7 linked regions of the Oryctolagus cuniculus genome follow. The protein of the gene in region 1 interacts with the protein of each later gene in a pairwise test. Links are inferred from orthologs where the notes say so. Each region holds a gene or a part of one and is shown in the gene's direction. Other genes may lie near its edges. The genes, in order: PNMA1, APTX, SPG7, SPATC1L, RUSC1, HOXB9 and FMNL2.

Region 1 (4,025 bases):
CGGCCAAAGGAACTGCCCATACTTAACTGCCTCAGTGACCTGATCTCTCATGTGCCAGATGCCTAGATGAAGAAGGAACACAACACATCCCGAAGCCTCGGCTGTTTAGCACCCTCTCCACGGGGGCCCGCTTTTCTGGACAGTATTTATTACTAGACTGGCAAGCCTGACTCCTTTAGGTTTACAGGAAGTGTGCATATTTTTATAAAACAAGTGTCCTCCCCCCCCCATTTTGCTGTGTTACTGTTTGCCTCTAACGATTTGCAGCTGTTTCTGTTTCACCTTTTACTCATTTGTCTCCAAGTTGAAGGCCTTGTAGGAGGGGACAGCCTTGACAGTCTGTAATTATTGTACAAATATTTTAATAGCATATAAAGAAGTATATTCCTTTTATTTTGAAACAGATGATCAGACACTGCCTTTTGTGTGTTTGCTGCCTGTGGCAACCTTTTTTAAAAAAGACTGTTACATATGAAAATGGTGTACATATATATAAATATATAAATATTACCTCTTTGGCTGTACAGTTGTGATAGAGCAGATGGAAGATTTTATTTTTTGTGTGCTTTTTATATAAAAATTAATACACTAAAGAGAATCTTGCTGATGTGATTGTAATGTACCTATGTAACTTATTTACTTTTGAATGTTCTTCTGTATCTTTAAACCTTTCATTAAATAAGGTTTTAAAAATTCAGAGTTGGATGCTGTGTTCTTTTGGGGGATTTTCATCCTCTGAGATTGACCGAAGCGGCCCTTGCTCTGGCTTGAAGAGTACCCGAGGCAGGGATTACAGAATACTGGTGCGTTGCCAGCTGTAGGTAGGTAGGTGGCCGGCCTTTTGACTAAGTGTTAGATAAGAGGAAGTGGCCGGCGCCGCGGCTCACTAGGCTAATCCTCCGCCTAGCGGCGCCGGCACACCGGGTTCTAGTCCCGGTTGGGGCGCCGGATTCTGTCCCGGTTGCCCCTCTTCCAGGCCAGCTCTCTGCTGTGGCCAGGGAGTGCAGTGGAGGATGGCCCAGGTGCTTGGGCCCTGCACCCCATGGGAGACCAGGAAAAGCACCTGGCTCCTGGCTCCTGCCATCGGATCAGCGCGGTGCGCCGGCCGCAGCGCACCGGCCATTGGAGGGTGAACCAACGGCAAAGGAAGACCTTTCTCTCTGTCTCTCTCTCTCACTGTCCACTCTGCCTGTCAAAAAAAAAAAAAAATTAGAAAAAAAAAAAAGATAAGAGGAAGTGTCCAGTCTGTGTGTCACACAAGTGGGATACTTGGGAGCCTTCGTTTCCTCTGGATGAGATGCCGTCCACGCACCTGGCTTGATGCGCCAGTTGCATGAGCAAGTCAGCCACCACGGGTGATACCCACTAGTATCTGAAATCCGCTCCGGATTAGAAGACAGAAGCCCTCGATGCTTATTGGTATTTTTTTTTTCATTGTAAAAGTCTGGAACATCTGATGGCTGCGGTACCATGGCAACCGCTCCCCCCACCCCGCGCCGCTGCGCACGGAGTCTTCGGGAGCGCGTCGTCCGGGACACCGTTGCCATGGTCACGCGCGCGCGCCTCGCCGGCGACCTGGATCCGGTGCGGCGGCCGCGGCTCGCGGGCCGGCCCCGCCCTGCACTGCGGCGGGAACGCGCCGGCTGCCGAGCTGCGCCACAGCCGCCGCAGCCCGTCGCGCCACGCGAGCCCGGCCGGCCCCACCAGCCTTCGCCTCCCGCCTCGCTTCTGCATCCTTCCTGCGTCTTTGCTCCCCTCAGCCCTCGGTTTTCAGCGGTCCTCGCTGTCCGGAGGGGTCCCCGCGCCCGAGAAGAAGCCGCTGCTCGCCGGCTGGCCCGGCTGCCGCCGCGGTGACCTCGGACAGCCTCTCCCGCCGGGCCCGGCACGCCGAGCGCTCCTTCGGGCTGCCGCTCCTCGCCCCGCTGAGGGCCGGGCTCGGACCGCCAGCGCCGGGGCGACTCCGGGAGCGGCGGCCACGCCCCGCGGCCACACCCCGGCGCTCCCGGGCCCCGCGGCTCCCGCAGGCTGCACTCTGGGGCCGCAGACCCCGACCCGGGACGCGAGATGGCGACAGCCGCGTGACTGACTGAGCCCCTGCGAGGCCGCGCCGGGGAGCCGCAGACGGACAGCGGGGCTTGGGTGTCGCTTGTTACCAGCGACCGCGGGGACCTGCCGCCCGCGCGCCTGCTTGCGGGGAGTGTCTGGTGTTGGTTGGAGTTCGGGGAGCCGCAGTCTGATCCGTATCTGTCGAATCGGTACCTTTGATAGTTGGGAACATGGCGATGACGCTGTTGGAAGATTGGTGCAGGGGCATGGACGTGAACTCCCAGAGAGCGCTGCTGGTTTGGGGGATCCTAGTGAACTGTGATGAGGCTGAAATCGAAGAGACCCTCCAGGCTGCGATGCCCCAGGTGCCGTATCGAGTGCTTGGGAGAATGTTCTGGAGGGAAGAGAACGCGAAAGCAGCCTTATTAGAGCTCACTGGCGCTGTGGATTACGCCGCGATCCCCAGGGAGATGCCTGGCAAAGGAGGGGTGTGGAAAGTGCTTTTTAAGCCCCCCACGTCTGACGCTGAATTTTTAGAAAGGCTGCACCTCTTCCTAGCTCGGGAGGGGTGGACCGTGCAAGATGTTGCCCGCGTCCTTGGGTTTCAGAACCCGGCCCCGGCCCCGGGCCCCGAAATGCCAGCCGAGATGCTCAGCTATATTTTGGATAATGTTATTCAGCCTCTCGTGGAGTCCATATGGTACAAGAAGCTGACGCTGTTCTCGGGGAGGGACATCCCGGGGCCTGGGGAGGAGAGCTTTGACTGCTGGCTGGAGCACGCTAATGAAGTCATAGAGGAGTGGCAGGTGTCCGACACAGAAAAGAGGCGGCGGCTGATGGAGAGCCTCCGGGGCCCCGCCGCCGACGTCATCCGCATCCTCAAGACCAGCAACCCCGCGATCACCACCGGCGAGTGCCTGAAGGCGCTGGAGCAGGTGTTCGGGAGCGTGGAGAGCTCTAGGGATGCGCAGGTCAGGTTTCTGAACACGTACCAGAACCCGGGAGAGAAGTTGTCGGCTTACGTCATTCGTCTGGAGCCGCTGCTGCAGAAGGTGGTGGAGAAGGGGGCCATTGATAAAGAGAACGTGAACCAGGCCCGCCTGGAGCAGGTCATCGCCGGGGCCAACCACAGCGGGACCCTCCGAAGGCAGCTCTGGCTGACCGGCGCTGCGGAAGGGCCGGCCCCGAACCTCTTCCAGCTGCTGGTGCAGATCCGTGAGGAGGAGGCCAAGGAGGAGGAGGAGGAGGCTGAGGCCGCGCTCCTGCAGTTGGGCCTGGAGGGGCACTTCTGAGCCCCAGGAAAGAGGGCTGCCGTGCAGACCCGGCCCGCAGCTGCTGTCCTGGTCCCGAGTAGTAAAGGCCTAGCTGCCTGCTGTTTTCGTTGTGTTTTTCTTGGAGGGAGGGGGTTCTGGCCTGCCCGTTCCTGTAACTCCGCCGACACTGCACAGAGCATGGGGAGCTGCTACAATGCCGATGGGCTTGCTGGCTGCGGCGCCCGCTGTCGACATGCCGGCACCCTCGGCTGTGACAAGTGTGAACCCGTGACTCTTCCCATGGAGATAAATGTGAAGTCGCACGTGCAGATGTTTAGCCCAGGGCCTGGCTCGCAGGAACCGTGAACCATCACATTGTTATCAGCGTCGAGGCTAGTGTGTGTTGACTGTAAATCATTCCATGTTTATATTAATGGAAAGAAACGTGCATTGTTTAGGTAATACTGCTCAGCCTCACAGTGCAAATCTCTTAGTGCTCATCTTTAAAGAGCCGGATCTGTGGAACAGAGTGTTCTGAGACTCCAGCTGGGGCGCTGGAAAAGGACTGCAGTTCCGGAGCTGTGCTGATCAGAGGTCGCGCAGAGAAACCACCTGGGGAGATGGCTAGGACCCGGTGACAGTGACCCACCCATCCCCCCACTCCCCTTCCAGTCCTTGTCAAAATAGTTCTTGTTCACCCAGATTTTAAATGTTCTACATTTGAAC
Region 2 (4,299 bases), on another chromosome or scaffold:
CTTCCTGGTGTGACCCTAATGTAACGCTGCTAGCAAAAACGAGTCTCTCCTGTTTCCTCGAAGAGCCTCTTGTCTTGACAGCTCTAGTATTTTCATCATATCCTTGGGTCTCTGCTTTTCCATGGAAGAAAACAGTAGTCCACCTTGATCAAGAAATGTGACTCTTCAAGGCTTGGTTTCTATTGTGTTTGAGAAAAATTACGCACTATGGGGCCGGCGCTGTGGCACAGCAGGTTGAAGCCCCAGCCTGCAACGCCAGCATCCCATATAAGCGCTGGTTTGAGTCCCAGCTGCTTCTCTTCCGATCCAGCTCTCTGCTATGGCCTGGGAAAGCAGTAGAGGAAGGCCCGAGTCCTTGGGTCCCTGCATCCGCGTGGGAGACCTGGAAGAAGCTCCTGGCTCCTGGCTTCGGATCGGCTCAGCTCTGGTCGTTGCGATCATTTGGGGAGTGAACCAACGGAATGGAAGACCTCTTTTTCTCTGACTCTACCTCTCTCTCTCTCTCTAACTCTGTCTTTCAAATAAATAAAAAAGTCTTTAAAAAATATGCACTATGTCTTCACCCATGAGATAGAAGATCTTCCATCTGGGGTGTGTGTGTTTGGCACAGCAGTTAAGATGTCCTCTTACCCCTGTTCCATGGGGTTTGATACTGCCACCCGTTCCTGCTAATATCCACCCTGGGAGGCAGCTGTGATGGCTCAAGTTATTGGACCCTTGCCACCCACATGGGAGACCTGGATTGAATTAATGGTTCTGGGTTTCTTTCCTGGTCTAAGATCAGCTGTTCTGGACATTTGGGGAGTAAACCAGTGGGCGTAAGATCGCTGTCTCTGCCTTTCAAAGAAATGAAAAAAAAATTCTTCCCTCTGCCAAAATACCTTGGAATAATTGCAATACATGACAGGGGTTAGGGAACGTCCTGGAATGGCTTTAAAAATCAGTGCCCATATCATTGATTGTTGCATCCTGCTTCTCTCCCTGACTGTCCAGGAGTTCCTTTAGTGAAGACAGCATTAAAAAAAAAAAATAAAAAAAATCTTAGCAGGCTTCCTCGGCCTCTGCCCGCTGCAGCCCTTTGTCTCCTGAACGGGAAGAAGATGCATTGTAGTTTAGAAAGGGGACGGCAATGCTTCAGCAGGTCTCGTCTGCAGGGGAGATGACCTTACAGGCAGTGAGCTACTGCTTAGCGACGGGAGCGTCAGGAGGCAGCATGGCCGCCTGGAAAAAGCCACGGGAGGGTTTGCTGCCTGAAGTCTCGTGCAGTCCAGACTGAGAGGCAGCGACAAGCGAATGGCCCTTAGGTAGACGCCGAGACAGCTCGTTCGCCTGGGCTAACTGCCAAGACCCACGCTTGGGCCAGTGAGGGACCAGTTGTGGGTGGGCACTTTTTACATCCGGGCATTGGGAGAGCCTGTTAGCCAATCCGCGGAGAGGCCGTGGTGACATCACCGGCCGCGCTGTGGCCTGTCTCGCGACGTGATCCGGCAGCGCCGGAAGCTGTGAGGCACGGCTGGAGTAACGTGAGCGCGTCGCTCTGTGTCGCCGAGCGGTAAGGCAGTGGTAGGCCTGCCTCTCCTGGCTGGGTTGAGAGCTGCGGATGTGGGCGCTAGGTCCGTGCAGCCACTACGCTTGGGAGACGTGTCCTCACGGACGCTCTCGTGGCTGTTGCGTCTTTGAAGACGTTGCCTCTTTCTCCCTTCAGCTCCCGGGCGCCGTTTCAGCAGGCGCTCGCGGTGGTCTCTGCCCCACTTGGCGTTAGTTCTCGCGTGTCCCTGACCTCTGTATTGAGCTTGGACCCAACGCAAGCAGAACACGGACTAATTAGAGAGCGGGCTCTGTCCAACCCAAGGAGGCGGCCCAGCTTGTCGGCAGGGACAGCGTTTCCGCCAGAAGCGCTTTCGAAGGAGCTCGAGGGTCCTTCACAAACTTCTCAGCGGCTCTTAGGAAAGCCAGACCGAGCAAGCCTCTTCCCCTAGAGACCGGGGCTAGCGGCTCAGTACAGTAGAAAGATCTTTCGCATTTGGAAGGAATGTGGTCCAGGTTTGGAGCCTTCTGGGAGTGTGGCTTATGTTGGGAAGTGGGGAGAAGCACAGGTATAGGTTTGTGCCCGTGCACCTTACACGTTGCTGGCCGATCATCTTATTTTATTTATTTATTTAAAAGGTAGAGTTACGGAGACGCAGAGGCAGCGAGAGAGAGGCAGAGACAGGCAGAGGTTTTCCATCTACTGGTTCACTCCCCAGATGGCCGCAGTGGCCGGAGCTGAGCCCATCTAGAGTCAGGAGCTTCTTCTGGGTCTCCCACGCGGGTGCAGGGGCCAGGGACTTGGGCCATCCTCTGCTGCTTCCCCAGGCCATAGCAGAGAGCTGGATTGGAAGTGGAACAGCTGGGACTCAAACTGGCGTCCATATGAGATGCCGGCACTGCAGGTGCTGGTTTTACGCTCTAGGCCACAGCCGCTCCTAGATGATGCCTTTACCCGTTCTCTGCTTCTGCGTTCATCATACCTTCACTGTCAACAAGAACGATGATGGTGTTGCCTGCTTAGTTTTGCCAGACGCTGAGTTTTACACCTGTCTCATTTAGCCCTTGTGACAAACGTAGAGGAATTTTATTTGAGAAGGGTTTAAAGCTTCAGAGGTTAAATAACTTGACTGAAGCCATGCAATGAGTAGATGGTGGAGCCCAGATTTGAACTCAAGGTGTCCAACTTAAGAGCCCTTGAGAGGCCGGTGCTGTGATGTAGTAGGTAAAGCCACTGCCTGCAGTGCTGGCATCCCAAGTGCTGGTTCAAGTCTTGGCTGCTCCACTTCGGATCCAGCTCTCTGCTATGGCCTGGGAAAGCAGTAGAAGGTGGTTCAAGTTCTTGGGCCCCTGCACCTGTGTGGGAGACCCAGAAGAAGCTCCTGGCTCCTGGCTTCGGATCTGCGCAGCTCTGGCCATTGTGGCCATTTGGGGAGTGAACCAGTGGATGGAAGACCTCTCTGTCTCTCTCTGCCTCTGCTCTCTATAACCCTGACTTTCAAATAAATAAATAAATCTTTTTTTTTTTTTTCTAGAAGAGGCCTTGAGGGTCACTACCCTTCAGTGATTTTCTCTAGTTGTTCATTAAAGATTCAAAGATTTACTTACTTGAAAGGCAGAATTAGGTTCACAGGGAGATTTTCCATTCATTGATTCACTTCCCAAATGGCTACAAAGGCTCGGGCTGTGCCAGGCCAAAGCTAGGAGCCCGGAGCTTCATCTGGGTCTCCCATGTGGGTGGCAGGTGCCCACCTACTTGGGCCATCTGCTGCTGCTTTCCCAGGTGCATTAGCAGGGAGCTGGATTGGAAGTGGAGCAGCCAGGTCTTGAACAGTTGCTAATATGGGAAGCTGGTCTTGCAGGTGCTGGCTTAGCTGGATGTACCACAGCACTGGCCCCTGTTGTTATGAATTCTTTTATGGAGAAAGGGTTTTAGATGTTTTCCCTTCTTAGAAAATCACTTAGGTTACACCTATCTGCTTTTCCTGTAGTCTCAGAGGATGGGTTGTTTCTCTGATGAAGGCAAAATTTTTAATCTTCTAACCTTTTTAATGCTTTTTATAGGAGACCTTGTTTTGTTTCTTTTTTTAAAGGTTTTTATTTAATGAATACAGATTTTATATGTACAGCTTTTAGGAATATAGTGTTTCTTTCCCCCATTCCTGCCCTCCCATCCCACCTCCTACTCCCTCTCCTATTCCATTTTTCATTAAGATTCATTTTTAATTCACTTTATATACAGAAGACCAACTCTGTACTAAGTAGAGATTTCCACTGTTTGCACCCACACAGAGACACAAACTATAAAGTACTGTTTGAAGACAGGTTTTGCTGTTAATTCTCATAGTACAACCTCATTAAGGATAGAGGTCCAACATGGGGAGTAAGTGCACAGTGACTCCTGTTGTTGATTTAACAATTAAGACTTATTTTTTTTAAAAGATTTATTTATTTTACTTGAGAGTCAGACTTACACAGAGACAGAGAGAGAGAGAGGTCTTCCATCCGCTGGTTCACTCCCCAGTTGGCTGCGCTGATCCAAAGCCAGGAGTCAGGAGCTTCCTCCTGGTTTCCCACGCGGGTGCAGGGGCCCAAGGACTTGGGCATCTTCCACTGCTTTCCCAGGCCACAGCAGAGAGCTGGACAGGAAGTGGAGCAGCTGGGTCTCGAACCGGCGCCCATATGGGATGCTGGTGCTTTAGACCATGGCGTTAACCCTCTGTGCCACAGTGCCGGCCTCAAGACTTATTTTTGATGTCAGTGACCACCCGA
Region 3 (4,257 bases), on another chromosome or scaffold:
CTAGCCTTTGCTGGAGTGGATTTCGAGAACCTTTTTCCTACCAAGGGCCACTGGGATATTTATAACATCACTCACGGGCCATACAGAATTATCAACTTAAAACAGCCTGCCCACTGTGGCATAGTGGGCTAAACCTCCACCTCCAGCACCGGTTCCTGTCCTGCTGCTCCACTCTGATCCAGCTCTGCTATGGCTGGGAAAGCAGTGGAAGGTGCCCAAGTCCTTGGGCCCCTGCACCGGCGTGGGAGACCGGGAAGAAGCTCCTGGCTCCTGGCTTCGGATTGGCCCAGCTCTGGGCATTAAGGCCATTTGGGGAGTGAACCAGTGGGTGAAAACCTCTCGCTGCCTCTCAAATAAACAGAAACTTAAAAATGAGTGCTATATATGTACTGAATTTGGAGTCCTGCCTGTGGTTGCCTTCCAGGGCGGAACAAGTGGTTTCGCAGGCCACCCGTGCTACTGAGGCTGAGTCACAGGTCACCTGCCGAGGGCTGGGTGCTGGTCACTTCCTGCCGGGGCTGCACAGCACAAGCTGCCCAGGGAGCCTGACTGTAGTCACGGGACCAAGCTGGCCAGACGACCACAAGCTGGCACGGCCATCTCATCCCTCCGAGGGGCAGAGCCAGGACTCCCAACCATAGGCTGATTCCACAGATGCCCAGAGCGCTGGGGCTGAGTCAGGCTGAAGCCCAAGCCTCCCACGGGGGTGGCCAGGACTCTCACCTGCGGCCCCCCGGGGGTGCCCGGGCAGTAAGGAGGGACCCGAGGCCGGCGGGGCAGCCCGGGGCCCGCGGCTGCCCTGCACACACACCCCCTGCAGGGGTGAGAGCCAGCACCCGGGACCCGCGGGGGCGGCCTGCGCACACCCGGAGGGACGCTTCCTCACCTGTAAAACAGGTGCTGACAGCGCCCGCTCGGCCGGCTTTGACAGGGAAATAGCAACACCCAGAACCACGCGCCGCCATGTTCACACAGCGAGCTCTCCGGCTCCCCGCAGCCGGCGGGCGCACAGCGAGGCACGCAAGCCCGGGACCGGGCGCCGCCGAGGAGCGGCGACAGAGAACGTTGCAGAGCCGGGGCGCGGCGGGACCGCCCGCTGCCCCGTCCTCCGCCCTCGCGGTGCAGGCTGCGCTCCGGGCTCCCAGGGCCCCGAGACCCAGGGCGGAGGCCCCCTCCCGGGCACGGCCCCCGCTTCCGTCCAGGCAGGCAGCAGACGCCACTGCTGGGCCTCGAGACAGCGGCGCCGGCGCTGGGGTGAGAAGCGCCCCAGGCCGCCCGCTCCGCAGGAATAAACGAGAACCAGACCCCAGCCGCAGTCGAGGCCCTCAACGCGCAGGCGCCCCAAGGAGGCCCTGCCGGGGTAGACGTCCGGAGGAAGCCCCCGACTGCGCAGGCGCCGCAGGGGGCCCCGCCCGCGCCCGACTGCGCAGGCGCCGTGAGGAGGCCCTGCTCGCGCAGACGCCCAGGGAACGCCCGCAGATTGCGCAGGCGCTGGTCTCTGGCCAAGATGGCGGCAATGCTGCTGCTGCGCGCCTTTCGGCCAGGCCCGGGCCCCGGTCCCGTGTGGCTGTGGCGCCCAGGCCCTGCTTGGAGCCCGGGCGTCTCTAACGGAGCCTGCAGCAGGCGGCCGTACGTGGCCCTCAGGCCTCCAGTGGGCCGTGCCGGAGGCGGCGCCCGACAGGTAACCCCGCGGGCGGCGCCCTGAGCCCAGACGGCGGCCTTCCCGGTGTGAACGCGGTGTGCGGGTGTTTGCTGCCGTCTCCGGAGTGTGCGGCTTCTGGCGGAGCGGTTCTCAGCCTGCAGGCCAGGCTGGCGGGCCGTGCTGCGGTGTCGCTGTTCTGGGGGAGAGGCGCACGGACCCGTCTCGGGTCCCCCGCGGGACCGCAGGGCCGGAGCCCGGGGCGCGCCTGGTCGGGGCGCCTGGACCCCAGAAGCAGCCCCAGAGTGTGCTTTTCTGGCCCTTGAAGCTCACCCTCAGGTTTCACGTTACAGTACGTCGTGTTTTACCGTGATCCGTGAGGGAACTATTAAGTTATAAATTATATGTAATCTATATAGCCCTAAACCCGGACCCGTGGTCGCGCTGAACCCGAAGGCCAGTGCTGATTTGTTGCACATCCTGTTCTGTGCCACGAAGACTGCAGTAGGCTGTCTCACCGGCGGCTGTGGCCCCCTTGGTTTGCCGGGGAAGCCCCAGGCCCCCCGCGGGCCGGGGGTGGTGGCAGGAAGGGTCCAGGCCTGCCCCCCGCGGTGCTGACCGCTGTCCTTGCTGTGGACACGAGGGGGCGGGAGACTCAGCCGGGCAGGGATGCTCTGAGGACAGAACTTAAACAAGTGGCGGGAGAGAGATGGGACAGATTAAACCGGACCGTGGTCTAAAAATATGTATGCATTTGAAAGGCAGAGTTAGAGACGACGGGAGAGCCGGAGACTTCTTCCACCTTGGCTGGAATGGCTGGGCCCAGCTGAAGCCAGGAGCTGGGAGCCGTAACTTGGGCGTCCTCCGTTGTTTCCCGGGAGCGTTAGGGAGCTGGATCGGCACCCATGTGGCGTGCTGGCACTGCAGGCGGCCACTTACCCTGGCGCGCTGCCTTGGTACCTGGTGGGGTTCTGCAAGGAGCTGGGGTCGGGAACGCAGAAGGGGTCTGAGCAGTACCTTGGAGAACCGCCCCTGGCGTCCTGCGAGGGCCTGGGCGGTGCAGGGCAGTCAGCTCCGGCCTTTGGCTGGCTCAGGAGCTGTTGCTTTGTTACTTCAAAACTTGGAAATAATGTTCAGATAGTTAAGTCACATTTCAGGGCATTGTAAGCAAATTTATATTTGAGCTTAAAATTTTTTATTGAAACTTTTACTGTTTTTTTAATTGAGAGATATAGATCTCTAATCTGCTGGTTCACTCCCCAAATGCCCGCAACAGCTGGTCCCAGGCCAGACCAAAGCTGAGAGCGAGGAACCGCACACTGGTCAGACCAAAGCTGAGGGCGAGGAACCGCACACTGGTCTCCCACGGGTGTCGGGAGAGCGAGCTCTTGAGCCTTCATCTGCTGTCTCCCAGGGTGCACTTGGCTTGAACCCAGACACTGCAGCAGGGGCTGTGGGTCCCCAGTGCTGTCTTCCTGCTGTGCCCAGTGCCTGCAGTCTGCATTGTTTGGATACTGTGGTGCCGTGTGACCCCGAGTACTGTGGTGCCAGTGAGACCCCGAGTACTGTGGTGCCAGTGAGACCCTGAGTACTGTGGTGCCAGTGAGACCCTGAGTACTGTGGTGCCCACGTGACCCCGAGTGCTCTGGTGCTCGCCTGACCCCGAGTGCTGTGGTGCCCGCGTGACCCCGAGTGCTCTGGTGCCCGTGTGACCCGAGTACTGTGGTGCCCGCGTGACCCTGAGTACTGTGGTGCCCGCGTGACCCCGAGTGCTCTGGTGCCCGCCTGACCCCGAGTGCTGTGGTGCCCGCGTGACCCCGAGTACTGTGGTGCCCGTGTGACCCGAGTACTGTGGTGCCCGCGTGACCCCGAGTACTGTGGTGCCCGCGTGACCCCGAGTACTGTGGTGCCCGCGTGACCCCGAGTACTGTGGTGCCCGTGTGACCCGAGTACTGTGGTGCCCGCGTGACCCCGAGTACTGTGGTGCCCGTGTGACCCGAGTACTGTGGTGCCCGCGTGACCCCGAGTACTGTGGTGCCCGTGTGACCCGAGTACTGTGGTGCCCGCGTGACCCCGAGTACTGTGGTGCCGTGTGACCCCGAGTGCTGTGGTGCCCGTGTGACCCGAGTACTGTGGTGCCCGCGTGACCCCGAGTACTGTGGTGCCGTGTGACCCGAGTACTGTGGTGCCGTGTGACCCGAGTACTGTGGTGCCGTGTGACCCCGAGTACTGTGGTGCCCGTGTGACCCGAGTACTGTGGTGCCCGCGTGACCCCGAGTACTGTGGTGCCCGCGTGACCCCGAGTACTGTGGTGCCCGCGTGACCCCGAGTACTGTGGTGCCGTGTGACCCGAGTACTGTGGTGCCGTGTGACCCGAGTACTGTGGTGCCGTGTGACCCCGAGTACTGTGGTGCCCGTGTGACCCGAGTACTGTGGTGCCCGCGTGACCCCGAGTACTGTGGTGCCGTGTGACCCGAGTACTGTGGTGCCCGCGTGACCCCGAGTGCTGTGGTGCCCGCGTGACCCCGAGTGCTGTGGTGCCCGCGTGACCCCGAGTGCTCTGGTGCCCGCGTGACCCCGAGTACTGTGGTGCCGTGTGACCCGAGTACTGTGGTGCC
Region 4 (4,234 bases), on another chromosome or scaffold:
ATGCAGAATACAAAATTACAGAATTTCTGGAAGATGACACTGGAAGAAACCTAGGTGACCTTGGATTTGATGACAACTTTTTAGATGCACCACCAAAGGCCCAAACCGTTAAAGAAAACATTGATAAGTTGCACTTAAAACTGAAAATTTCTGCTTTGCAAAAGGTGTGTCAAGAGAATGTAAAGCCACAGACCAGGAAGAAATAACTGCACAAGATGTGACTGCTAGGGCCTGTGGGGCCCCAAGGGATGCGCAGCCATGGAGCCCCCACGTCAAGGTCGGTCTGATAGCTGTTGCTGTGTCTTTATCACAAGGCGGATGTTGCTAGTTTCGGTTAGGGCAATGCTTTCCCACGGTCGGGACTTTCCAGAGGAGTTGAGAATGTTGTAAACAACAAGATGGCGCCGAGGACCGTGCGGCGAGCCTGCCTGCTGCGTGACACCTCATCTGATTGGCCCGAGAACGCGTGCACACTGCGTGAACAGACAGCAGATTGGAGTGTTCCGTGCATGGACTTGAGCCCGCTTGCAATTGGCCAGATTTTGTATATAAGCTATGTGCTGAGGAAGGAGGGGGCTTTTCTGTCCACTCTCCTCCCTTCATTCTTTCTCTGTCGCTGTTATTTTCCCATTAAAAGTCTGCTGAAGACCGATAAGCTGCGAACAGTGTCGTTCCTTTGCGGGCAAGGGAGCGGCAGGGCCGGTGTTGTAGAGCCATGGTTCCACTGCCACCTGCAGAGCTGGCGTCCCGTCTTGGAACACGGGCTCAAGTTCTGGCTGCTCTGCTTCTGATCCAGCTTCCTGCCTATGCACCTAGGAAGGCAGCAGAAGATGGCCCAAGTACTTGGATCCCTGCCACCAAGGGAGACCCACGTGGAGTTACAGACTCCTGGCTTCAGCCTGGCCCAGCCCTGGCTATTGGGAACATTTGGGGAGTGAACCAGCAGATGGAAGATCTCTGTCTCTCCCTCTGCTTTTCAAATAAGTAAATAAGTCTTTTTTTTTTTTTTAAAGATATATCTGATAGTTTTAGTATCTAAAAAGACTTGAAACTCAGCAATAAGAAAAATGGGCCAAACACCTCACCAAAGAAGACACACAGATGGCACAAAAGCACACTATGTGCTCCCCAATTGGAAAACTAAAGAGAAAGATACTCTACCTTTATATTCATCTGAGGAATGCAGATTAAAACCATGAGCTGTTGTGGTACTCCTGTTACAATGGCCAGGTCGAGAACACTGACAAGACCAAATGTTGACGAGTAATGGGAGCTGTCATCGCTGGTGGGAGTGCAAAGTGACACAGCCGCTCTGGAACAGTCTGGTGGTATCTGAACCTCAGATACCACCTGTGCACTGTGGGCATCGGACTTCCATGCCTGGCGGGGTCAAGGGGTGGGAGGGGCCCGGCCAGGGCCGGGCAGTGACATCACAAGGCCGCGGAAGGCAGGGCAGCTGTGGAACTCTGTGGTCTCAGGCTGTTTCTGGAGGATCTGCGGGCCCTGGATTTCCATCTCGATGGGGCCGCAGGCCCACCCCTGAGCACCCAGGGCTCAACATGGCTGAGGGGAGCGAGCTGATGAGCAGGCTCATGAGCGAGAACGCAGACCTGAAGAAGCAGGTGCGCCTCCTGAAGGAGAACCAGATGCTGAAGAGGCTGCTGAGCGAGAGCTGCCAGGAGACCTGCGGCCGCGGGGGCCGGGACCTCCTCTTCCCCAAGGCGTCTGCCTACCCCGAAGCCTGCTCCCCCGTGAGCGGAGGTGAGGCACGGGCTGGGCACCGGGGGTGTGGAGGAGGCCTGCTCCCTGCACGAGCGTCCTGTGCTCAGGTCTGGCAGACCAAGGCCCTAGGGCCCTCTCTGCCGCACCCTCGGGGAAGGTCCTGCTCTCTGTGCCACTGGGTCTGCACCTGGAATGTAGTGGAGTGTGCTAGCCCTCGGCCGGGGTGGCCTGGAACTGGCGGTGCGTGGGCTCTGCAGGGCGCCTGTGCAGCGCGAGTGGGCAGGGGAGTGAGCTGGAGCCGTGGCCTGTTCACCAGCCAGGTGGACTCCAGCCTTCGAAGGCTTTTTACAGAGAACCTAGAGTTTTATCACTTTCTGCAGAAGTAGTTGGCTCTGGTGAAAAAAAAAAAAGTTTCATTCATGGAAAGTGTGGCTGGGAGTGTGGTTGATGGGTGTGGCCTTGGCCTTTGGTTGGGACGGAACCTCTCATCCAGCAAGTTCAGCTGCGCCCTGGACCTGGTGCCTGCTCAGCCAGGATGGGGACAGAGGGCACATCCCAGCCTGCCCGTCCCAGCAGTGGGGCAGGTGGCCTGGGAGCCTTGCCGGCTGCAGGAAGGAGCTGCTGACAAGGCTGCTGCTGACGCCCACTGCATGCCCAGGAGGCTGGTCTCTGCGGAAGGCTTGCAGACCTTAAGCTGGGCTTTCCCAGAGACTGGTGTCCAGCAGGATCTGGGGCTCTGAGCCCCGAGTTTCCCCCTGGAAACTCTGCGGTGCAGGATGGCCCAGCGGCAGCAGCAGGCATAAGACCCTCTGACGGTCACATGCCAGCTACCGCAACACACGGCCTCACTAGCGCCGTTGACCTTGGTGGGGACGCTTAGCAGAGTGCCGCCCGAGACCCAGTGCCATGAAGGTTGCTGTCCCTGCCCTGTGAGGCTGGTAGCGGAGCTCAGGGCCTGGGACCTCCCTGGGCACCCGGGGGACGCTGGTGTCTCAGCCGCGTGCTGTGGCCCTGTCTCTCACTGGCGCACAGCTTTCCTCTGCCCGTCAGCTCCCCCCTTGCCCGTGGGAGCTCCCGCAGCGCTGGAGCCGCTGAGCTGCTGCAACAGACCCTTCACGCCCCAGGGACGTAACTGGCTCAGCAGCTTCGCCCTCACGAGCTCCAGGCAGGGGTGAGGGCTCCTCGGCCAAAGGCCAGGGCTGTTGAGTAGACACTCCCAGTGCTCTGCAGAAGTCCACTGTACTGACGGCTCCCTGACACCGGGCATCGCAGATGTCCACTCTGTCCCCTTCCGCCACGCGGCCAAGGCCTCCCTGTGTGGGCCTTCCTGGACCGTGGCTCGGCTTGGTGGGCCTGTGATGCACATGTTGAACAGGCCCAGAGGGAGCGCAGCCTCGCTCTCACTCCTTGGGCGCCTGTCCCTTCGGTCTGCCTCCCGCGCACTGCCAGGGGCCCGCAGCGGCCAGCTGGGGTCCTGGTGTTGCAGGCCGGCTCTCAGAGGCCGAAACGCTGGCGGCTCCTTTGGAGCAGCTCTGGGCCACCGGTGCTCTTTGCACTGAGACAGAGGACTGCCCGTGCTGCCGTGAGTGGGTCTCGAGTGGCTCGGCCATATTCCAGAATCCGACGGCTCCTGGCTCCTGACTTTGGCCTGGCCCAGTTCTGACTTTTGTGGCCACGTGGGGAGTGAACAGTGGGTGGAAGATCTCTCTCTCCCTTTCTCTAATTCTGCCTTTCAAATAAATAAAATATTTTTAAAGAAATTAAAAGAAACAGAAAAATTGAGCAATGTCTCATTCCGTTTACCCTCGTGATCCCTCTTCTGCCTTGCTGGAGGGCCTGTCACTTCCGCCCCCGGTCCAGGGCGGCTCGCTGCACTGCTGTGCCCCATCCCGCAGGGTCACCGCCCCGGCCCAGGACAGCTCGCTGCACTGCTGTGCCCCAGCCCGCAGGGTCACCACCCCGGGCCCAGGACAGCTCGCTGCATTGCTGTGCCCCGGCCTGCAGGGTCACCGCCCGGACCCAGGGCAGCTCGCTGCACTGCTGTGCCCCGGCCCGCAGGGTCACCGCCCCGGGCCCAGGACAGCTCGCTGCATTGCTGTGCCCCAGCCCGCAGGGTCACCGCCCCGGGCCCAGGACAGCTCGCTGCACTGCTGTGCCCCAGCCCGCAGGGTCACCACCCCGGGCCCAGGACAGCTCGCTGCATTGCTGTGCCCCGGCCTGCAGGGTCACCGCCCGGACCCAGGGCAGCTCGCTGCACTGCTGTGCCCCGGCCCGCAGGGTCACCACCCGGACCCAGGGCAGCTCGCTGCACTGCTGTGCCCCGGCCCGCAGGGTCACCACCCGGACCCAGGGCAGCTCGCTGCACTGCTGTGCCCCAGCCCGCAGGGTCACCGCCCCGGGCCCAGGGTACCTCGCTGCACTGCTGTGCCCCAGCCTGCAGGGTCACCGCCCCTCGCTGTGTTCTGGACATCTGTCTGGAAGTTTTACACAGTTATTTCGGCACTCTTCTTTG
Region 5 (4,203 bases), on another chromosome or scaffold:
ACTGTTCAGTCACGTGGGCGAAGGCCAGGTCCCAGAAGGCCTTGCTTCTCCAAGTGCTCTTCACCCAGGAGGAAACTGGAGGTGACACAAAGGTGAAGAACAAGAGGGGACCCAAGTGACCTGGGAGCTGGGAATTGTGAGGGCAGAGTGAGTCTGAGCGCCCTCAGAACTGGTCTCCCAGGAGTGGCCGGGAAGGTGGACTGTCAGTCAGGACTTCCGGGTCAGGGAGGCCGAGGACGTCTGAAGGAGGTGATCTGAGGGCCACAGGAGCACCAGAGCCCGTGGAGGAAGCGGCCAGGGAGCTGGAGCGCCTTGGGGGTCGGCTCCTTAGGCTCTTCCCTATCCAGGCAGGCATTGACGGGGAGAAGGAACACGCGAATGCCAAGAAGATCCTGCTGGAGATGGGGGAGTTCTTTCAGATTCAGGTAGGAAGGCCAGAGGCAGTGGGGGGTCCGGCACCAGCTTCCTCGCCCCCCCCCCCCCCAGCCGCCTCATTCCTCCCTGCCTGCCCCCGCCAGGATGATTACCTCGACCTCTTTGGGGACCCCAGTGTGACCGGCAAGGTTGGCACCGACATCCAGGACAACAAGTGCAGCTGGCTGGTGGTCCAGTGTCTGCAGCGGGCCACCCCGGAACAGCGTCAGATCCTGCAGGTGCCCGGGAGAGGGCCAGGGCAGCCGGGAGTCTCACCCCGGGGGGTGGGTGTCACCCCTGGGTGCCGTCCGGCAGGGTCTGCAGGTGGTCGCTGTCGCAGGCTGCCAGTGTCCACTGGGAGCTGCTCCTCCTCGCACAGTGCGCAGAACAGCACCAGCACCCCCAAAAAAAGAATGATCTGGCCCCAAAGTGGCGAAATTCGAGGGCAGAGGAAGCTGAAGCCCCAGGCAGTATCTGACCATTTGGGCTGGGGCAGGGGGCAGGAGTGGATGTTCTCGAATCCGAATGAAGGGTGTGGAGAGCTGGAGGCCGAGGGTAGGTAAGGCTGAGCGCAGTCTCCCCCCCCCCCCAGGAGAATTATGGGCAGAAGGAGGCCGAGAAGGTGGCCCGGGTGAAGGCACTGTACGAGGAGCTGGATCTGCCGGCCGTGTTCTCGCAGTACGAGGAGGACAGCTACGGCCACCTCATGGGTCTCATCGAGCAGTACGCTGCGCCCCTACCCGCGTCCATCTTCCTGGGGCTAGCGCGCAAGATATACAAGCGGAAAAAGTGACCTGGAGGCCGCGAGGGAGGGGAGAGGAGGCTGTCAATAAATTATTGTGTAACCTTGTGGTTCTGTGCGTGCTCAAGTCACCTGGGGCCCGGCTGTGTCGGGGCGGGGGCGAGGCGGCTGCAGGCTGGCTCTAGGTGGGTGACACAGGCAAGACGTCAGGCGCGGGGAGGCGGGGCTGGGCTACGCCACGCCCATGCGCGGAGGGGTGCGGCTGCGCAGCGGAGCGGGTTGGCCCAGCGCCCCTCCCCTCCCCTCGGCTCTGTGCCCCGCCGGGCGGGGACGGTGGGAGCCGCTGACCAGCCCAGGGCCGGAGCGGTTCCAGGAGGACCCTGGTGAGGAGGGCTCGGCACGTGGGATCGACCGGGGCTGGCGGGGTGGGGCAGGCCAGCGGGAGTATTAGTGAATAGCGCAGGGGTGGTGGGTGGTGGTTAGATGATGGAGATGAGCGAGAGAATGGACAGGCGACCTCGGTAGCGAGCCGGGTAAGGGCGTACGGAGGCTGCAGGCTGGAGCCGGTGCAGGGCAGCCTGCGGATGCAGAGTTGACGTCCTGACGGCTTCTCTGTCCTTCTCCCCCTCCAGCCCCCGCCCCTTTCCTGCATTAACGGGGCTTGCCCTGATCCCCTCCGGCCCCTCCCCCCCCCACTGCTTTTAAGACCTTTTGGGCGGGGTCTCCCTTGGCCCCTTCCTCTGAGAGGGAGGTGTAGGCTGGAGGGAGGGCAGGGTCAGCTTGCTGCAGCAGGGCCGGGGGATCCATTCTGGGCTGCATCTTCTTCCAAGCCTCTGCACCCCCACGGGGCCGCATTCTCTGACCCTCCCGCTCCTTTCCTGGGGCGGGGTGTGTGTGTGTGTGGGGGGGCTTGTACATTCGACTCCACCTGCAAACACTGCAGTGGAAACTAAAGGCCAGTCGATGGCGATTTGCATCTTATTTAAATATCTTCCAAAGCAGCCAGAGTCAGTCACCTCCGTGTCCTTCCCCGGCCCTTGCCCTCACTGGCTGGGTCTCACCACCCCCGGCTTCTAGGTCTGCATTCTGCGGTTGCCAGGTAGGTGGATGTGAGAGGCCGGATCCTCCCGGTTTAGAGGCCATCGCGTCGCCGCCGGCACCATGCTGTCCCCTCAGAGGGCTTTACTCTGCAACCTCAACCACATCCACCTCCAGCACGTCTCCCTAGGCCTGCACTTGTCCCGCCGCCCAGAGCTGCGCGAGGGGCCCCTGAGCACACCCCCTCCCCCGGGAGACACTGGGGGCAAGGAGAGCAGGGGCCCCTGCAGCGGGACCCTGGTGGATGCCAATTCCAACAGCCCAGCCGTGCCCTGCCGATGCTGCCAGGAACACGGGCCAGCAGCCTTAGAAAACCGGCAGGATCCGTCTCAGGAGGAGGAAGGGGTGGCCTCTCCCTCGGACCCGGGCTGCTCCTCCTCTCTCAGCTCCTGCTCTGACCTGAGCCCGGACGAGTCGCCGGTCTCCGTCTACTTGCGCGACCTCCCTCGCACCGAGGATGGCCACCCGCAGCCCAGCATCGTGCCCCCGGGGCAGGGCTCCCCACTTGCTGCAGCAGGCCCTGGGCCCTGCTCCCCGGACAGCTTCTGCTGCTCCCCCGATTCCTGCTCAGGCACCTCCTCCCCACCCGGCCCTGACCTGGACTCCAACTGCAACGCCCTGACCGCCGCCCAGGACCTCGCTTCCCCGAGCCTGGAGGACGAGGAGGAGAGTGGGGAGCAGGACCTTCCCACCTCTGAGCTCTCGGAGGCGGAAGATGGGAAAATCGATGTTGGGAAAACGGAGCCCAGTTGGAAAATCAACCCCATTTGGAAAATTGACACAGAGAACGCTGAAGCTAGATGGAACCTCCCCGACAACAATAACTCTGGTTGGAAAACCAACGGAAATACTAACTGGAAAACGGAACCTGGGAAATTCGACTCTTGTTGGAAAACCAACACAGGACTAGCTGATTCCGGCTCGCAAACAGATGCAGGAAAAATTGATGGGGGATGGAGAAGTGACGTCAGCGAAGAGCCGGCGCCCCATCGGACAATCACGTCCTTCCACGAGCTGGCCCAGAAGCGCAAGCGGGGCTCGGGGCTGCCCCCGGTGCCGCAGGCCAAGAAAGATCGCAGCGACTGGCTCATAGTTTTCTCTCCGGACACCGAGCTCCCCCCCGCCGGCTCGCTGGGCGGCACCTCGGCGGCTCCGCGGGAGGTCACCACCTTCAAGGAACTGCGGTCCCGAAGCCGGGCCCCGCCCCCGCCCGTGCCCCCACGAGACCCCCCAGCTGGCTGGGCCTTGGTGCCGCCCCGGCCCCCACCCCCGCCCGTCCCTCCCCGGAGGAAGAAGAACCGGCTCGGGCTACAACCCATCGCGGAGGGGCAGCCCGAGGAGGGCAGGGCGGCCAGCCCCGCGGCTGGCGAGGAGGCCCCAGCCGCGAAGGAGCCTGAGGAGCCCGGCGCGCAGAGCGGCCTCGAGGGTAAGAGACTGCAGGAACCGGAGAGGAGGGCTGGGCTTCGGCCTCGCCCACTCCTCCCGAGCTTCCAGCCCCGCCCCCTGTCTCCATTCTGTGTCATTCCCCGCCCCCTCCACCAGGGAGCGCTCCGGGAAAGGGAAACCGGGCGGGCCCTTGGGCTACGGGACTAACTCTCTGCTCCCTCTTTCTCCCGCCCCTCTTTGCCTGGCTGCTGGCCCCGCTGCCCTCCCTCCCCTCTGCGCCTGGCCCCGCCAATCCTGCCTGCAGCCGGTCCCCTCCTACTCCCCCGACCCCTGGTTTTCCGGCTCTCTGCCGACGGGCGCCCCCTGTTGGCGGGTGAGGGCGCGGGCGCAGCTGGGTCCCTGCTCCTTGCGCCCCTGGCCCGGCGGCCGGGCGCCGGGCTGCGGTTGCTGGGGGCGCCGAGCCCCCCGGAGGAGCAGCTGCTGCCCGTCCGCCTGTCCCCGGTGGGAGCCTACTCGCCCCCGACGCGGGGGGCCCTACCCTGCCTGGCCAGCCCTGAGCTGGC
Region 6 (3,495 bases), on another chromosome or scaffold:
GCACACACACAGCCCATAGCCCAGCAAAGTCTGTCTGGAAAACCCATTATTTCGAGGCGGCCATTTGGCCAGGATCAATTATTAACAGTTTTTTCCTCTTTCATATTTAATGCGGCTGCTAGTCCCAGCCCAGGCACTCACATTAAGGAAGTAGCACAGCACATTGGTAAGCCAGGGTACTGAGTGTAGGATAAGCAAAATTGTTTCTTAAAGGTATTCAATAGTTTTTATTTGGAGAGAATGAAACTAATAGAGAGGGTGGTTGTGGTGTTTAATGAGCTCTGTTGGATTTGGCAACTTCTGTGCGTCCCAGTGTGGGAGGAGAGGTGGGCAGAAGAGAGCCTGTGTATCTTGATTTCTTCTTTTTGCCCCTCTCCGACTCAGTGTGACTGTTCTCTCTGTCCCCAGCCCTCCCCGGCAGGTAGAGTCCAGGCGTGCTGCACAGGGCTTTTGGTTCCCCTGGCTCTCCACCTTGGCACTGGAGCAATTTTGCTTCCCACTTTCCCTGAACTTGTGTTGTAAGCAGCCCGTGCACTGAGCTGTAGGCAAGGAGACACTATTGCAATCATAAGTTATCTGTGAGCCCAGCACTGCTGCGTTCCTAGGCTGCAATTGATAGATGGGTGCAATTGGGTTGTGTGTGAATGGGAGTGTGCAGGGTGGCCACGGCGCTCGGGGCAGACCCTGTGTTTGCGGTGTGTGGCAAGTGGTGTGCATTGGGGGGCCGGGGGGAGCGAGTTGCACAGCCACACTTGCCTATGGCCTGCAGGCGTGAGAGGACTCATGGCACTGGAAGCCTGAGAGGTTTGCCAGCTGTGGCTGAGCAGAAGCCCCCTGCTCACCCACCCGATGCCCCGTCTTGTTTCCCAGGGACCTAGAGTCAGGACGCTGCAGGTCAGCCACTGCTCTAGCCAGCCAGTGCTGTTGGGGGTGGCCAGGCGGCAGCCAGGGTGGAAGTCTAAGCAGTTAGGAGGCACCTGGAGAAGGCTGGAGTGAGCGCTTGAAGCAGCACAGCCTGGGGAGTGCTGGGGGGAGTCTGGGCATGAGTTTGAGTCTGTCCTGTCCCCTGGAGGTGTCTGCCACAGAGCTGGCCCCTCTCGGGAGCTGGCAGGCCCAGGTGCCTCTTCTCTGGGGCCGGGGAGCACCCTGTTGGTCTTGGTCCCTTCCCTGTCCCCTCCCTTCCCTTCTTTGATTCTGTCGCTGCTTCTCTTTCAGCCAACCCCTCCGCCAACTGGCTGCACGCTCGCTCTTCCCGGAAAAAGCGCTGTCCCTACACCAAATACCAGACGCTGGAGCTAGAGAAAGAGTTTCTGTTCAATATGTACCTCACCAGGGACCGTAGGCACGAAGTGGCCAGACTCCTCAATCTGAGTGAGAGACAAGTCAAAATCTGGTTTCAGAACCGGCGGATGAAAATGAAGAAAATGAGTAAGGATCAGGGCAAAGAGTAAAGAGGAGCCCAGCCCCCACCCCCAGCCCTCCCCAGCCCTCTCCGGCTCACTCTTATTTATGTGAAGGTTGCAAAGCCAGTGCCATCTGCAGTGTTTGAGTGAGTGGGGAGGGGAAATCTTTCTCTTCCAAGTCCCAGAGCCTCGCTCCCCTCCCTCGCCCCTACCTGACCCCCTGCTTCTCCCTGGGCACCCGCAGGAAGTTTCCTTGAGTTAGAAGGTAGAAGTAGTTGATTGCTAAGACCAGTGATGGACCACATGGGAAGAGAGACCTGAGTTTTCCTGGGAAGCTGCAGCCCTCACAGCCTGCCTGTCCCCTCCCCCGAGGCTGAGGCTGTCCACAGTCACCCAGGCACACTCCAGGTGCATAGGGCCCAGCAGACGCCCATGTATATAGAGCCTAGCGTGCACGGTAACCAGGGGGGAGACGGAGCGGGGGTCCTAGCCCTGAAGCAAAGGCACAGCAGGAAGAGGTCAGAGAGGGACCCTTGTATGAGGTGCTTCAGGCCTCAGCAGGGCCACACTGTCCCCATGGGGCAGACCCAGTGCCCAGGCCAGTAGGGTAGAAAAGGCAGAGTAGTTTTATGAAGAGCTCCCCCCTCCCCCCACTTTGTTGCAGGAAATGTTTAATTCTGCATGATGTTTTCCTCTCCTTCCAACAAAAGCAGGTCACCCTGTGGGTCCTCCAGTTGTGACAATGTGGACCCTGGTCCGTTTGTGCCCCACTTGACATAGACCGTAGCTTTCCTCCATCTCCACCGGCCCCGCATCCCTCCTTCCACATCCTCCCTAGATCGGAAGTCCACTCTGGTCAAATCCACCTTGCACCAGCGAATCAGCTGCCCCTTGTAAGAGAAACCCCTACACACACACACACACACACACACACACACCGCCCGCCCCCTGCCAGGTCGGCCCCACTATAGACAGGAACGTCAGATCAGGGGAGCCCGATGGAGAATTTAGTGTGAATTGATGCCTGAGCGCCTTTCCGGAGTAAGTTGTCGGGGACCGGGACCAGCCATGGCCCCAGCGCTCGGAGCTCGGCGTGTTTCTTCCCCTCCCGACCAACCCGGAGGAGCCCGATGCTCTGCGGCCGCCCTCCGCGCCGGCGCCCCGCTTTGCCTCCCGCTATGCGGGCCTGGATGCCGATTGGCAGCCGCCGCTGCAGCTTGCATGCCCGCGTGCAGAGCCCAGAGGCCAAACCGCACCTAAGCGGCAGGAGGAAAAGGACTCTCTGCCTCCCTTCCTCGCCCTGCGCCCCCACCCCTCCGTCCCGCGGGACTCTTCTCCCGACCCTGCACAGGGGCAGTTCCAGTAGAACTTTCTCGCTGTGTCCGTGGCTGTCGTGAAATTGTGCTTGTGTTTTGTGATTTCTTTGGGGGGTGATCGTCCCGCGTGTTTTCAGTCGTGGCTTCTGGGGGGGGGGGAGGGTGGTGGGTGGGAGTGGGGTGGGTGAGGAGCCTAGAGCTCTAATTGTTTGTTTTGGAAGAAAAAGAAAAGAAAAAAAAGAACAAAAAATATATATCACTCTAGAAAAACAAATCTCTCGTGTCTTCTTTTGTGCGAGCTGTTCCCGGTCTGGCCATAGAGAGAGACTCCCAAAGTGGGATTTAGTCGTACAAGCTTGACTGTGCCCAGGTGGCCCCTAGGCAGCGCTCAGAGCTGGCGCCAGACCCAGGCCCCCAGAGCCCTGCCTGGACAGAGCGAGGACCAGGGGAGGTGCAGCGGGAGGGGAGAATGGAGCCAGGACTGGGTCTCTCTGAGTGGGCTTTCCCCCCACAGTTGCCCACCGCCTGGGGAGCCCGGAGAGGGGGGAGTAAAGCAGGCAGTGCAGGTCTTGGGAGCCCTGCGCTCTGGCCGCTGAGAGAGAGGGAGGCCAGGGAGGAAAGCAGCAGGACCCCTCCGCCTTTCCCTGCCCCCAGGTGCGAGGCTGAGGGCTTCGAGGGGGCGGAGGTGGGGGTGGGGCTCCTTAGGGTTCCTGGGGTCCCAGGCACCCCTGTGAACTAACCAGGACCTAGCAGCCTTGGTCTGAGGGCGTCGGGTC
Region 7 (3,500 bases), on another chromosome or scaffold:
ATTTTCATGAGAACTTTTATAGAGTGGGATACCTTTTCAAAATTTAAGATTTTTTTCCCAAAACTCAGTGTTTATTTAGCTTTGTGTTATGTTAATTCTGGATCCTGATGGATACGTGTGATTAGAAGAGCTATCTTATAAGCATGTAGTGACCTAAGTACTTTTTTATAGGTAGTCATTGATTTGTTCAATAAATGTTTATTGACATCATCCACGTACCAGATACTATTCTCACCACTCATCTTTCCTCCAGGGAAGGTCATAACCTATGACATGTAGGGAAGATTTACTGATTGTTGACCTCTATTGTCATCCTTTTTTCCGCGAAGATTTATTTATTTGTCTGAAAGGCAGAATTACAGGGAGGCAGAGGCAGAGGCAGAGAGAGATCTTCCATCTGCTGGTTCACTCTCCAAATGGCCACAGCAGCCAGAACTGAGCCAATCTGAAGCCAGGAGCTTCTTCTGAGTCTCCCATGTGGGTGCAGGGGTCCAGGGACTACTTTCCCAGGCACATTAGCAGGAGCTGGATGGGAAGTGGATTAACTGGGACTCGAACTGACACCCATATGGGATGTTGGCACTGCTGGCGTTTGCGTTACCCACTATGCCACAGTGCCGGCTGCCTTCTAGTATCATCTTAAAGGTAGCTGAGTTTATTCTTGATGCTTGACCTTGGATGCAGCAAGCTGGGGAAAGGTTTCTGATCTGTGCTTTGGGAGCCCTGAGCTGTTTTTGTTGGGCGCTCTACCTTAGGGAAGAAATCATGGGATATAGGCCCTAGGAATTTGCTAAAATAAGCCTGAAGGCTAAGTATAAACTCAAGCAGTGTCTACCCCATATTCCACCTAACCCTCTGGCCTCGCTGCAACCCCATCACTTCTAGGCAAGGTCCCACTCCCTCTAGTCTCTCGTGTTACACAGACAACCCTCAAGTTTTACGTTGCTAGCCATTGTTTCCTTTGGGAGCTGCTTGGATGTTTTTTGTTGTCCCAATTTCACCTACACCCAGATGTTCTAGGTTACAACCTAATTACATGGAGCAGGAAGGATTAGGAGGAAAATGTGTGTGTGTTTGGGAGAGTGTAGTCACCAGAATGTAATCTGGTGGTCCTCCCTCAGGCTGTTACTCCACAATTCTTTTAAGGTAGATGATATCTTCAGCCTTCTTGTGGAAAAGCTGGGCTCTTCGAGCAAACAGAATGCATAGACTCTTGGTATATTCTGCTTCCTCAGAGAAGCTAACACCGTCTTCTGTCACGTTCTGGTTTGTAGAAGCTGAAACACACAGAGAGTGACAAGCTGCAGGTACAGATTCAGGCTTACTTGGACAATGTGTTTGATGTAGGAGCTCTGCTGGAAGATGCTGAAACCAAGAATGCAGCCTTGGAGAGGGTGGAAGAACTGGAAGAGAACATCTCTCACGTAAGTCGGTCTCAGAATGGGAAAAATTGCTGACATTTCAACTGGGTGCAAAGCAGAAGTAATGACAAGCATTTATGGCAATAAGTTAAAGGAGCTGAAGTGTAGCAATGAGCTCTAACCTAGGATAGAGAGCTGTCAGAAGCCACTCTGGGGTCTTTCAAAGAAACCAGATGTGTTACATAAAACAAAATCAAGTCTGTCTGCTTGCCTGCTAGGTTCTGCTGGGTTGTGTTTCCTGATGACTTCGGTTATGGAGAGTTAGATGATTGACATCACCTGCAAGATGGGAGGATATAAAATATGGGAATTTGGTCTGAGTCAAAGGAGTATCTCTTGAATTTAGCCACCTTCTTAAATATGTTCACACAGGGCCATGGGCAGGATTAGCTAACTCTGTGATGCAGGTCTGAACATTCCTGTCTGATGGCTATTCAAATTCTAAACAGGGGCACGTATTTGGCCTAGTGGTTAAGATATACTGATTAAGATTCCTAAATCCCACATTGGAGTGCCTGGGTTCAATCCTGAGCTCCAGCTCCTGACTTGAACCAACGGTTCACTCTCCAGATATCTACAATAGTCAGGAGCATGAAGCTCAATCCGGGTCTCCCATGTCAGGGGCAGGAACCCAAGTAGTAGAGCTGTCATCTTCTGCCTCTTAGGGTGCACATTAGCAGAAAGCTGAATCCGAAAGAGAGTAGCTGAGCCTGGAACTACACTCCCATGTGGGATGTGGGGTCCCTTAGCTGCTGTGCTAAATAACCTGACTATACTTCGTGGAGGAAGTGTCCTCCCAGTGTGATGTCAGCTCTGTACCAACAGGGATGCAGCTTTCTTTGAGGGACTTTTCCAAGTTGAATATTAGTCTGTAGGTCCTCAGAGATTGTTCACTTGTTCATGTTTTGAACAGAGCATTCAGTACTGTGAAAATGAACAGAAAAATGGTGTTTCTCAGAAATTCCAGTATTATGAGGTCCAAATTCTTTTGATAACTTCTGATGTGTACTTCACTTGATTGTGAACTGAGTTGTCCCTTTTGTGGAGGAATGTTATTTTTTCCCATGGAACAGCTCATTTATTTTCCTCTACATTTTTCTTTTAAAGAGTACTGCGTGTGTTTGGTTTCCTCTACCTTTTCCCATCACTCTGCAAATGGGCATATTCATGGTTTGTGGTTAGGCCAAGTGAGTGATCCAGAAACCCTCTGTAAGTGCTCCAGTGAGCTGGTCGGCTTCCACTTCGGAAGAGAACTTGTAGGCTCAATAATTCTGAACTTAAATGATTCAGTCTGAACAGTAGAAATCTCCATGCTTCCTCCTGACCTTGTCTTTGCTTAGGATTATTTTCATTGAGATGTAAAAAATCAGAAATAGGTAAATTTTAAGAGCATTTGGCATAAAGTAAAATGACCCATTCTGTGTTTCTCTTGAAACCACTGCCAACATTACATGACCATACTTTTAAAAAACTTAATTCCATTTTTCACAAAATTAAAAATTTTTTTAAACTTAATGTCATTTTATTTGAAGGATTGGGGTAGGGTGGAGATTTTCCATATGCTTATCCATTCCTCAAATACCCACAATAGCAGAGACTGCCCCGGCCCCAAGCCAGGCACTGGAGCTCTATCCGGATCTCCCCCACATCGGTACCTCAACAGCAGTCAGCTGTTGTCTCTCAGGGCATGCATCAGCAGGCGACTGGAACTGGCACTGGAGCTGGGACTCCCACCCAAGCCTTTGCACGAGGGGTGCAGGTGCCCCAAGCAGCATCTCAACTGCTGTGCAGAACAGCCGCTGCTGCATGGCCGTACTTCTGTATTTACTTACAGCAGGCCACCTGTTTATTTCAGTTGTCTCTCAAATAGTGCTCAATATTTGATCAGTTTGGTTTAAAACAAGCAGTAGTTTTTGTTTTGTTTCAACTGGTTACCTGGAATGTCACAACCAAAATTTCTGAATCAATACTTTCGGAAAGCTTTTGCTCGATGCCCTTGCTTGGGAAGCTGTGGAAGTGGACTCCCGTTTCCCTCGTCCCTTACTGATCTCTCTATCATTACTGGTCCCTGAAGAAATG

The links.
Region 2: the proteins of PNMA1 (region 1) and APTX interact in binary tests that used the Homo sapiens proteins (3 or more experiments, as listed by UniProt). The two-hybrid records come from large-scale screens. The link is inferred for Oryctolagus cuniculus from reciprocal best matches to the Homo sapiens genes PNMA1 and APTX.
Region 3: the proteins of PNMA1 (region 1) and SPG7 interact in binary tests that used the Homo sapiens proteins (3 or more experiments, as listed by UniProt). The two-hybrid records come from large-scale screens. The link is inferred for Oryctolagus cuniculus from reciprocal best matches to the Homo sapiens genes PNMA1 and SPG7.
Region 4: the proteins of PNMA1 (region 1) and SPATC1L interact in binary tests that used the Homo sapiens proteins (3 or more experiments, as listed by UniProt). The two-hybrid records come from large-scale screens. The link is inferred for Oryctolagus cuniculus from reciprocal best matches to the Homo sapiens genes PNMA1 and SPATC1L.
Region 5: the proteins of PNMA1 (region 1) and RUSC1 interact in binary tests that used the Homo sapiens proteins (3 or more experiments, as listed by UniProt). The two-hybrid records come from large-scale screens. The link is inferred for Oryctolagus cuniculus from reciprocal best matches to the Homo sapiens genes PNMA1 and RUSC1.
Region 6: the proteins of PNMA1 (region 1) and HOXB9 interact in binary tests that used the Homo sapiens proteins (3 or more experiments, as listed by UniProt). The two-hybrid records come from large-scale screens. The link is inferred for Oryctolagus cuniculus from reciprocal best matches to the Homo sapiens genes PNMA1 and HOXB9.
Region 7: the proteins of PNMA1 (region 1) and FMNL2 interact in a two-hybrid assay, tested with the Homo sapiens proteins (2 studies listed by BioGRID). The two-hybrid records come from large-scale screens. The link is inferred for Oryctolagus cuniculus from reciprocal best matches to the Homo sapiens genes PNMA1 and FMNL2.

Annotation. Positions count from the first base shown.
Region 1 is NC_091451.1:19,888,785-19,892,809, reverse strand, and holds the start of PNMA1 (paraneoplastic antigen Ma1), read left to right. Parts: upstream 1-1,225; 5' UTR 1,226-2,276; coding exon 2,277-3,338; 3' UTR 3,339-4,025.
Region 2 is NC_091432.1:196,420,894-196,425,192, reverse strand, and holds the start of APTX (aprataxin), read left to right. Parts: upstream 1-1,499; 5' UTR 1,500-2,032; coding exon 2,033-2,043; intron 2,044-4,299. UniProt on the Homo sapiens protein: DNA-binding protein involved in single-strand DNA break repair, double-strand DNA break repair and base excision repair.
Region 3 is NC_091449.1:69,189,019-69,193,275, forward strand, and holds the start of SPG7 (mitochondrial inner membrane m-AAA protease component paraplegin), read left to right. Parts: upstream 1-1,457; 5' UTR 1,458-1,507; coding exon 1,508-1,681; intron 1,682-4,257. UniProt on the Homo sapiens protein: Catalytic component of the m-AAA protease, a protease that plays a key role in proteostasis of inner mitochondrial membrane proteins, and which is essential for axonal and neuron development.
Region 4 is NC_091435.1:687,924-692,157, forward strand, and holds the start of SPATC1L (speriolin-like protein), read left to right. Parts: upstream 1-1,434; 5' UTR 1,435-1,559; coding exon 1,560-1,761; intron 1,762-4,234.
Region 5 is NC_091438.1:43,229,694-43,233,896, reverse strand, and holds the start of RUSC1 (AP-4 complex accessory subunit RUSC1), read left to right. Parts: upstream 1-1,403; 5' UTR 1,404-1,539; intron 1,540-2,233; 5' UTR 2,234-2,317; coding exon 2,318-3,680; intron 3,681-3,944; coding exon 3,945-4,203. Other genes in the region: FDPS (farnesyl pyrophosphate synthase), read left to right, coding at 348-425, 519-653, 1,007-1,207. UniProt on the Homo sapiens protein: Associates with the adapter-like complex 4 (AP-4) and may therefore play a role in vesicular trafficking of proteins at the trans-Golgi network. Signaling adapter which plays a role in neuronal differentiation.
Region 6 is NC_091448.1:24,894,128-24,897,622, reverse strand, and holds the end of HOXB9 (homeobox protein Hox-B9), read left to right. Parts: intron 1-1,215; coding exon 1,216-1,451; 3' UTR 1,452-2,995; downstream 2,996-3,495. UniProt on the Homo sapiens protein: Sequence-specific transcription factor which is part of a developmental regulatory system that provides cells with specific positional identities on the anterior-posterior axis.
Region 7 is NC_091434.1:89,261,057-89,264,556, reverse strand, and holds part of FMNL2 (formin-like protein 2), read left to right. Parts: intron 1-1,274; coding exon 1,275-1,424; intron 1,425-3,500. UniProt on the Homo sapiens protein: Plays a role in the regulation of cell morphology and cytoskeletal organization. Required in the cortical actin filament dynamics.